Linked DNA regions of Neodiprion lecontei. The protein of the gene in region 1 interacts with the protein of each later gene in a pairwise test. Links are inferred from orthologs where the notes say so. Each region holds a gene or a part of one and is shown on either strand. Other genes may lie near its edges.

Evidence for each region.
Region 2: the proteins of ribosomal protein S6 kinase delta-1 (region 1) and proteasome subunit alpha type-5 interact in a two-hybrid assay, tested with the Drosophila melanogaster proteins (2 studies listed by BioGRID). The link is inferred for Neodiprion lecontei from reciprocal best matches to the Drosophila melanogaster genes CG7156 and Prosalpha5.

What each region holds. Positions count from the first base shown.
Region 1 is NC_060266.1:1,255,437-1,261,668, reverse strand, and holds ribosomal protein S6 kinase delta-1, read left to right. Parts: upstream 1-2,003; 5' UTR 2,004-2,247; coding exon 2,248-2,409; intron 2,410-2,481; coding exon 2,482-3,528; intron 3,529-3,622; coding exon 3,623-3,756; intron 3,757-3,819; coding exon 3,820-4,885; intron 4,886-4,945; coding exon 4,946-5,041; intron 5,042-5,148; coding exon 5,149-5,256; 3' UTR 5,257-5,397; downstream 5,398-6,232. Other genes in the region: rho GTPase-activating protein 21, read right to left, coding at 44-130, 230-398, 670-868, 930-1,634; protein SEC13 homolog, read left to right, coding at 5,705-5,946, 6,038-6,232.
Region 2 is NC_060260.1:35,498,792-35,503,636, reverse strand, and holds the start of proteasome subunit alpha type-5, read left to right. Parts: upstream 1-1,845; 5' UTR 1,846-1,989; intron 1,990-4,504; 5' UTR 4,505-4,691; coding exon 4,692-4,778; intron 4,779-4,845. UniProt on the Drosophila melanogaster protein: The proteasome is a multicatalytic proteinase complex which is characterized by its ability to cleave peptides with Arg, Phe, Tyr, Leu, and Glu adjacent to the leaving group at neutral or slightly basic pH.

The DNA.
Region 1 (6,232 bases):
TTTGCATGTAATATCAAAACCATACACTCTAACCATTACATACTTTGGATCATTACATATTATGGATGCAAACATAGTGTTTTCTGGCCGAGGATAACCGCCGTCAGGCAATGTCTGAAGTACTTGACGCCTGCAAGTCAATATAAACGCAATAAATACCCCCAGAACGTTGATAAAGAAAATAATAAAACACGATTGCAAAAAAGCCTATTTAAACTCGATTGCTTACTTTTTCTTTGCACTCAACGGTGCCGCAGACTCAGCCACTTTGCGCTTCTTCCCTGTTTTGATCGAAGGTGTGTCGGTAGCGCTGAACTCACTCGACACAACTCCGCTACTTGCTGCTGCGTCTGGTGATCCGCTCTTGCTAACCATTTTCTTCAACCCATTCAACATTCCTTTGGATTTAAAGAAAAACTATTATGCACTATTTATCGTCGAATAGATTTGAAACTGAATAATGATCATGATCACACTGGTAGAACAAAAATTGTTAGAAAAAATGAATAGGAAGAGTTAGCCATGATCTCATACAAATACATTATTTATAGACAACCCCATTAAATTTCGACAACAAATAAGGCTGGGATCTTGAACTAGTCATAATCTTAAATAAGTTGATTGCCGCAAACAAGTATAGAGAAAATAAAGTCAGATGGATAGACGTACTCAGGTTGAGATTGGAGGCGCTTAGATGTGGCTTACGTGTAAGACTCCCGCTCCGTCGTTTTTTTTTCTTGTATTTGGATGGGTTTAGAGAGTCAGAGGTATTTATTTCAGTTTCAACACTGCCCGGAGTCTCGGAGGCAATGAGATCTGCTACGTGATCAGGAAGGACCCCGATGCGCTCAGCATTTTCGATCAATATCTAAGAAGCCGAGGTAACAGAATAAGTATCAACTCTTAGACTGCGCAAATTAGATTCTCACCTTTACTATAACAAGGTGGGTTTCCAGTCTCGACTGTACGGCCGACATGGTAGTTTCCTGAAGCGGCATAATACTGGGCCCCATGACTTTGGCTAGATTATCAATGCCCATTTTGTTCTGCCTCTCAAGCCTGGCGATTCGCTTCAAGAACTCGGCAAGGTAGGCGAGCGTGTTAAGGTGATGTGGAGGAAGGATCAGACACGCTATGAGCAGAGCCTGAACCCTGGAATTTTTTAGAAGCGCACAACGCAGAAAGACATCCTGGTAAATGCGCGGGATCAGGGGGTCAGGGAGGTCCCTGAAGAAGGTTTTTAGCACATTGGCAACGTCGACGACCTGGTACTTCTCACCCAGGGTGCTCCCACCGTCGAGACGGGCGATAATCTCCTTTTGTCGGAGGTGGGATCCCGCCTTTCGGAATATTCCCTCCTGGCTGGCGTATTTCTCAATGTAGGAACAGGCTTGGGTGACAAACTGGGGAACGTGGACGATCGCCCCTGAGGATAGCTTCACGACATCGAGTGGCAGGTGGGCCAAACTCGTCTTGAATACCGTCTTCAGCGACTGACCGCCTCCCGAGTCCGGCTTCGCTGAAGAAGACGCCGCCGCCTGTTTCTTGATCCGGCGTTTAACCCCCAAATTCCGAAGATCGTTTGACAGTATCTGGTAAACCTTCTCCTTGTCCAACACGTCGTAAACAAACATATTTACCGTCTGGGCGAGGATCGGATAGCGCCAGATCCTCCAAACGGGTGTTCTTTATTCATAAAACTCAACTTCAATTTGACAATATAAAGTATAACAACTTGTTTGTAACAACGCGATTTGAATTATCGAAGTTTATTGTTGCCGGTTACGTATACGCATGTATATGATGTTTATCATTGTTTTCCAACCGCCTTGCCTCATGGTCGCTATGCAGTTCGTTGCGGAACGCAAAAAACTCGTTGCGTTCTGTAGAGGGGATAAATCTACTGATCGCTGCTGCGGGTGCGTTCCGAAACTAACCCTAGTGCTGTGAACCATCTTTTATTTCTTTTGCGTTGCCGAGTTCATGGGTAAACACTCAGTGGATAATTCCTGCGACCAGATGGCGTGCGGGTAATTTAGAGAGTTTCTGTTCAAAATTCTATAGAGTATGCATATGTATATGCATATACACGTGGGAAATACCACCAAACCACCACACTTAATCGATACATTTTTGACACCTTCGTTCATAACAGAAAAAGACTTGGACTCGCGTAATTTAAGACTGGTTTAGTGTTGGGTTAACACAGAGAGAAAAGCACGAGCCGTGCTCGAATGAAATGTTCGCATGAACAAAGAAGCCCTGGTCAATAATTGGGTGCTATACGATTCAAAGTCTAATAACAGTAAATGGCACCATCTAAGGAAAAATGGGTACGAAGGTTCCTTATCAATGAGACTTCGCGTCACAGGAAAGGATTTACCGTGTACAAAGTTACATCAGTGGTCGGTACATATACTATTATTAATTTTAAGTCTACTCGAACAACAGTCTCTCCTTTAGCTGCTCGTCTACTTTCAGATATATCCTAAATCAGCCCCAGAGGCTGTGTCCAGAGTTTCGGTTTGGAAGCGATACAGCGACTTTAGGAAGTTGTACCTGGAGCTGAGCAGCCGTCATGACACTTTGAGGATCAAAGAGGCCTTCCCACCTTTCCCAAAGCCCAAGTTCTTTGGCCGTTTTGAGGCGGAAGTTATTGAGGAGCGACGACAATGTGCAATCAGACTTCTGGAGTTTGTAGCAAGGCACACTCCACTTTTTACAAGCAATGTAGTTGTCAAGTTCTTCGAGTCTGGACATGCCAGAGACTATCTAACCGACTGCTCGGCATCCATCGGCTCCGATACCTCTGAAGAGGACCCAAACTTGAACTCCGCTCTCAGAGGCACCAGCTACGTTCCAACCACTGTGCAGAATACTCAGTTTCCGACTTCAAATGGCAGAACGATCATACTAGCCAACAATGATATTGAGACGAGTGATAATGTTTCCCAGAGCTTATCTGTGAACAATAACTGCATTGACGAAATTGGCGTGGTCAGTGAGAATGGCGTCAACATAAGTGGGACAAAGCCAATCAATAATAAGAATGACGAAGAAAAACTTGAGAGGCAATCGCCAACCTGTGACAGGTATGATGCCCCTAAATTCACAGCTTCGCTTCAAGCTTCGAATGGCTTTTCAGTCCATGATGGATCTGACTTACCTGAGGGTGCCGCTGAAGACTTGAGCAGTTATATTCTAGTATCAGCTACCCACATGAGCGCAGCTTTCAGACACGAGGCTGTGTGTGAATACGAGGAAGCATTCACGCTGTATAAATTGGGCATAGCAAACCTACTCAATGGTGTTCAATCTGACCCTGATTACGGGCGCAGAGCCACGATCAGAGACAAGATATCCAAGTATTTGGAGAAGGCAGAGAGGCTTTACAACAGGCATCTGAACTGCAACGTAGGCATGCTTTCCAAGCCTACTAGTGAATTGGGAAATTATAAAGTATTACGTGTTATAGGCTCGGTCATGCTGGTCAGAGACACTTTGCGTGATTGCAATAGAGTTATAAAGGTAAAGCTCTCTGTGTTATTCGTCATTTTGAAAAATAAATAAGAACTAGCTTTGATCTGGGCAGCGATGTTTCAATTAGTAATTCTCTTTCCAGACAGTCCAAAAGCCAGCTGGGTGCCTTGGGAGTCTCCGCGATTACATTCTGCGTGGCAAAATCCCATTCATGGTACGGCTTTACGCATGCATAGAAACGGATTCGACGATATTTCTTGTCCTGCACTATGCGAGGTGAGTGGAAACTGGATATGACTTTGCTGATTTTGATGATGCGACTCAGCTCTTACATTTCAGTGGAGGAAAGCTCTGGGAGTATATCAAGTCGTACTACAAGGGCCGCAACACAGTCTCTAATTGGAGAGAGAAAGGGCATACAAGGTCAGTGAGTTGCGACGCTATTATTCAGTCGAGTCTGGAAAAGAAGAAGCTAGGAGTTAAGGAAAGACTGTTACCGAAAATTGACGGACTTGCTGAGGTTTCGAAAGACAGAGCTTGTGGCAGCAGAGAAAATCTCGATCCGCAAGAAGAGGAGACGATCGATCCTGATGAATCGCTCAGAAGATTAGAGGCAAAATTTGGAGCCAATGCTGCGCCTGTTAAAACATTTCAAACCACGGACTTACTCGCTAAAGCCCAAGAACTTCTGCGATTGGTTGACGCCACTCTGAAGAAAAGCAATTCAATAGCCAGCAGGTTGAATGAATCTGGCACTTTACTGTACAGTGAAGATAAGCCGGATCATTCTCGAAATTTAGCTCACGGTGGGGAGTTTCAGGCCCTAAATGTAACAGAAATCGATAAACTCAGTCAAGGTAACAGCATAGATGGTGTTCACGGTATTGGATCTGGAAATATAGATCTGAAAGCAAAAAATGAAAGATCAGACGAAGCTTTGGCAAATTCTAAGTCTAATTTTGTTAAGAACTTCAAAGTTGAGGACGAGTTAGTGAAAGAATCGTCAAAACTCAATGGCTCTCATAGAGTGATTGAGGAAACTATGAATTCTGGCCAATTGCAATCGATCGTTAACGAGGACAGCGGTATTGAAATGGATGACGAACTCTGGAAGCTTCCCGAAGGAACCATCCGATATTGGGCAGCTGAAATACTCCTGGCACTGGAATCTCTGCACCAGCAGGGTGTCATAGTCGGAAATTTAAAACCAGATAATATATTATTAGGCAGCGGAGGCCATGTCGCGATGACTTACATTGTCCCAAAACGAAGCTTCGAACTCTTGCAGCTAAAGAAGCCCTACTCCGCCCCTGAACTTTGTATCTTCTCACCAACAATTCCACCCTCCACTGCTGCCGATGTTTGGAGCTACGGAGTCCTGCTCTACGAGCTCTTCACTGGAATTGTATGTCCAATTATCATAGTTTAAATTGATATTCGTTGAGTTTATGTTTTCTGTTTTCAGAAATTCCAAACTAAACATCCTGGACCATATCACTCGCATTCTATTCTCAACATTCCTGAAGAACTATCAGCGAACGTGAAATCATTGATCTCTAATGTGAGTTTGAAGAGTTTAAATACTTAATTAGTTCTCAAAATAAATGAAGCAGTGCATTCAAGTCAATGAATTCCTTTGTATATGATTGTCTTACTCTCCTTGTTCAGGTATTGCGATACAAGCCAGAGGAACGTTTATCTATTCCCGAAATCAAAGAGTCTTCATTCTTCTCTGGTATTGATTGGACCGCCTGGGCTAACTCTAGTTTTACTTAGTCGTAATATACCTATTTTTTTCCTTCTACAGTACGCCATATCATGTATTTGTCAATCTCCAGTCAGTGTATAACTAGTTCAAAAATAACGAACAAAATAATATTTATCACAATCGACATAATTAAAAGTATATAATATGTATTCTACTTCAAATTTTGAACCATCCCGCCGATAGATAAAATAACATAACAAATGGAAAGGCACGTGGGGCACGTGTTGTCTTTTTACGAAAAATCCCTAGCACTTCGTGGTGACTCTGATGCTTTTCGTTGCCTGATGTTGGTGCCTTTTAGCGCGTGTCCACTTCATCAGATTCCACGTATGTCAGTTGGATCAGTTGTGTGGTTATTCTTCAATCGCTGCAACGGACAATTTGCGACAACAAAAAATAGTGAAAGAAACAATATAAATAATAACTCGTTGCGGGTAAACGAAGAGATAATTGAAAATGGTCTCCGTTCTAAACACGGTGGACACGGGCCACGAGGACATGATACACGATGCCGAAATGGACTATTACGGATTGAGGTTAGCTACCTGCTCAAGTGACAATTCGGTGAAAATATTCGATCTGAAGAACGGCACGCAAACCCTCGCTGCAGATTTGAAAGGCCACGTCGGTCCTGTTTGGCAAGTTGCCTGGGCTCATCCGAAGTTCGGCAACATCTTGGCATCTTGCAGTTACGACAGGTAAATTTGGTGATCTCAATACTTTTGCTCCACGGTTTTCCGACCTTATGCAAAAATAAGCAAAATCTAAACTGTACTTATCTCGCGTTAGGAAAGTCATAATTTGGAAGGAGCTTGGTGAGTGGACCAAGATATATGAACATGCGTCCCACGACTCGTCTGTGAACTCCGTTGCATGGGCGCCGCACGAGTTCGGACTAATATTAGCATGCGGCAGCTCTGACGGCTCGATCTCCATACTTTCTAACAATGGTGACACCTGGGATGCCCAGAAAATTCCAAACGC
Region 2 (4,845 bases), on another chromosome or scaffold:
TCCAAGATTACGGGAGAATCGATTTACCGGTTATATACACGATTCGGGATGCAGCGGCCGCTGCTACCGTCGCGAAAATATACCTTATCGCGTTGTATTTAAAAAAGCTACGCAAATCGACGCGGTTCTCCTTTAGCCATATTATACATGTACCCACTTAATTCGCGGAGACAAATTTCATCCTAAGATTTTATTCCAGCATCGAAAACTTCGTCTGTAATTCTTAAGAGGTAAGAATGAGGCGGAGTTGAAATTCCGAATTTAATAAGTTTTGAAAGTGACAAATTTCGAATTTTTTGGTGGAGACGGTTGAAGCAAAGAGATCAAACTTTGACGAAACGTTAAGGTTTCGAAAGTGCGAAAATGAGAAAATTTTAAAACCTGCAACATCGAGATTCTGAATGATCGAAGATTTTCGGTTCTATGAATTTCTGGCTTGGTGAAATTTCACCACTTTGATCTTTCTTTGTTTTGGATTTTCGATATTTTTACGTTTGGAATCCTGGTAATTCTGATTTTTTACACCGACTCGTAGAGTAAACTGCGCTGCGTGAGTATATTTCAACTTTCGGAATCTTACTCTATCTCAACGTTGTTTTCGGAATTTTGCTCTGTCGGAACTTTACTTTTCGAAAATTTGTTGTATCGTAAGAGTTTGATTTCTGTATTTAAAGTTTCGCCACAAATTAATTCGAAACTAGGCGCTTTCGGAACTTTCAAAATTCGGACCTCCAATCGCGCTCCGTAAAAATACTATCTTGCACTTTTAAAAATGTGCAAGCGTCGTAAAATATAATCTGAGATTTCTGTAAACGCAATGCTTTTGTCGTAATATAAAAAAATATTTTCACCTCGAAACGGAAGAATTATTTGGTTTCACGGCGGAGCGAGCACTCCTTTCCTGTATCGTTCAAAGGGAACGGACGTTAAGCCCTTGCCCGAACAGTCGTTGGGTATTTCATAAACGAGTTCGAAGGATTCTGATTCGTACGTAGGTAGGTACACACAATGAGATTCGACCAAGCGGTGGTCCCTCGCGATTTTTGTGTACCGGTCCCTCGGACGGGTTGTTCGAGAGTTGTACGAGAATCGCGAACACCGCTCGAAGCCTAACCATTAGCTATAAATACGTACTAAATATTCCCATAAATCAGACCAATAGTCACATTACATGCCGGGGTCCTTGCCTTAAGAATATAACCAGCTTGGCTTCTACAACTCACTGCCGAAATTTTCTTTTTTACCATATTATATACACGGATGCGGGGATTCGGTGCGGCTGAACATTTTTTAATTTGTTTTTTTTTTTATCTCCTTTTTTCATTTCCTCGTACAAAGTCTTGCAAATATATGTCGGAGTAAAAGCTGTACCTGCTTCTTTGACGTTACACCGTATTATCTTAGAGTTATCCGTTGTGAGTTGATTTATTATGCGCAGGGCTACATACGGAATTGGGTGTTACGGGATAAACACCAAACGGCTAGGTGGTCTAGTGGAGTAAGGCTCCGGTAAAGCATCGCTAGATACCAGGTTCGATTCCTGGCTCCGTCGTTAATTTTTCGAATTTACCAGTTTTTCAAATTTATATCTTCAACAATGAAAAGGCCTCGTGATTAATGTTAAATATTGATAATGCATATCCGCATTTCAATTATTAGACGGTCATTGACTGTCTTACGGGCTTCGCATCAGAAGCGTAAGATTCCAAAATGTAAACACACTTACAGACATTCTTACAGTTGTGCTCAAGAGGAAGAACACTTTCTATTCATAAACACCAAACGTAGTCGCAATCACGGGATTAAGGGAAACTTGTTGATAAACAAGAGGGGTACCGATTACGGGAGCGGAGAGAAACGGCAGTCGGAGCCGAGCCTCCGGACAAATCGGTCTTGATCCCGGATATTGTGAATTCGTTGATTCCGCGATAATATGGACGGCGTCACGAACGATGGGACGAACGAGTCTCCATTGACTCCGACATACAGGTATGTGTACACACATGTATGTATATATATATATATATATATTGGACCGAGATATTGTGTTATTTAGTTATAACCAGTCGCTGCAATGCGGATCTTTATTCATCGTTTCAAAATTGTACGATCTTCTTGAGTCACTTTAAAGTTGAACGTAAATCACCCGAAAGCCGCGATACATGTTTACTTGAACCGCAAACTCAATTAACGAGTGTTTTCAAATAAAATAATTTGGAGCATTAATTACTGCTCTGTAATATACGATGTTAATTTAAATTCGCAGTCAAGTGTTGAAAGAATTGGAGTAAAATATGTTCACGTAATCTTTTTGGTTATACACGATTTAACGTAAACACAGATAGAGAGATGAATCACTCCAAAGAAATATCAGTTCCACTACATGATAATCTGAATATCGCAGCTCGTACCTAACGTAAAACATTCGTCGCGTTCTGATCGTATCTGCAGGTTTATTCGTCGTTAAACTCCAGTCAGAGACGTCCTTCGTTCGTCTTAATAACGTTTAAGCCACCGGAATTGCGGTCGTTTGTGTTTATCAGATTTAATAATAAGATTCAGCCTAACGAGCGAGCCATTAATTTCGGCAAAAGTATTCTCTTATCCGCAATTCTTCCTTCGACAACAAGAAAATAAATTATGAAAACGGTGAAAAAAAAAAACAAAAAAAAATGCGACCGCAGCGATTAAAAACCGGGTAATTGAAAATGCAAACCCGACGGAATGAAGAAGACTCCAGTTTGAGAAATGAAAAATACCCGCGAGTGACGTCGCGCGAAAACCTGCGTCATCGGAGAAGAAGTTGAAATGAAAAAAAAAGTGTACAAAAAAATATTTTGACAAGTATGAAAAATAAAAATCCAGGCCTTAGTAAAAACTGGGAATGTGCAGCGTTTCCCGTGTCAGCTCTCACGGTACGAGTCACTGATTCATAAATGACCCATGTGAAACACTGAGCGCCGATAGTCATCAGCTTGTTAAGTTCCGCTGTATTTTCCGTCTGAAACGCGACAGCGCATCCGAGCAATGCGATGTTGCAAGAAAAGGAGACAGGGAGTTGGAAAAAAAAAATTCGAAAAAAAAGCAAAAAACGAAATGACAATAAGTATGATAATAATTTTTAGTAACTCGCGAGAGATCGCGCAGTGTCTGCGTTCAGGCATAAAATAAAGACGCGGGTCGCACAGGTCCGACATTTCGGCGTGCGATCTCCTCCTCCAGGCTAAGCGAGTCGCTTTATGTAAGGCAGATTTAGATAGCGGGAGAAAATCAGGGAATCTGCTCCTACAAATTTTCAGCTCAGACGCGAAGAGGCCCTCAGGTTTTCGCACGAGGGTCACGCGCTGAGTTAACTCCAAAATTTACGACCTTTTCAGGAAAGTGCTGCTTTGTCCAACGGTCTCGTTTCGCGTACTTCGCTCTGCATGCATCCGCGATTTAACGCGTTATATACCCGAAGCCAAGTACGCGAGGAAGCGGGGAAATTCTGATTTTGAGCAGCGAGAATCGTTTCACATTCTTTTTTTTGTAGGATTCTGATTAGCAGCTGAATCTCAGCGTGTCGAGTGCTAACGATTATTTAATTCATGAAAAACGTTGTTTTTTTTTCTTGTATCGATGCGCAAAATATTCCACTGTCTTTAAGTTATTGTAAATTCTTAAAAATTTTATACCAAAGTTCAATATAATATGGAGTTAAATTTGCAACTCAAATTGTTGATGATGTAGCGCATTTTGTGGAAGTTTTACTTGAATTTCCTTGATATTTATCGGTGTGGATTTAAAAAAAAAAGTAGAAATCAGAAGTTTGTCAAATTACCGATGTCATTTTTGAACAGGTCTTGAAAAGCTTAAAAAAATTCGATGTACCTAGTATTTTTTTTGCCCACCCTCAATGTTCAGTGATAAGGTTATTGATATCGAGCAATAGGTGTAAAAATCTACTAAAATCGATTCTATTCTCCGTATCTTTCAGCTCCTCAATTTTGACCGTGCGTATGAGTTTATAATTGAGAGATATAAAATCGAGTATATCAGAGGCTAATCAGTGCCGACGTGTATAATAACGGTGATTATTCATATGCATATATATATGTATACGTATAGTTTTCAGAAATATCTTTCATCACTTCTTGCTCTGCTCCTATATTTCGCAACAAAGTCGCGGTAATAAATAAATTTAACAAAAAAAGAAGAAGAAAACATCTGGTCCAGGTACGTGAAACGTTTTATCGTACAACAGCCTCTCACATATTGACTAATATCAAACGACGGTACGGTGCGAAGTGAATTTGAGTTTGGGTACCGGTATATCATATCCGTGTAGGTACATAGATTGGATTATAGTAGGTGAAGCTGCTGTCCGAGTCGTGGGCGGAACTCAATCATTTCTCGAGTCTCCAGCATTTCGAGCGAAAGATAGTTTCGGGTCCCAGGTATAGCGCAGAGGTGTTACTAATTGTACTGATAAAACCTTCACGCCTACCTACGATATTGTCCGCAGGTCCTCAACCCGTGATCCCGAGAAAACCGGCGGCGCCGTGGCGTCGAGACGCCGTTCAAGCTGAGAATCGCTGAGGCCATTCTGGGGCACGGACACTCGGAGAAGAGAGAGAGAGAAGGACGCCGTGAGAGCGAAAGATCGTTTGAAGCCGGTCGAGGCGTCCGACTGAGAAGAGGCTGTGGAAAGGATGGAAAGTCAACCCGGCCTCAGGCTCGCGGGGAAAACTTGGACAATTGGCGCATGCGGCCAAAATACTTCGGTACCAGTTCTCTGCGTGAGTATTCAAGAAAGTATACTGAGAAAAAATTTCATTTGTTACGTATATACTAGAAAAATTGAGT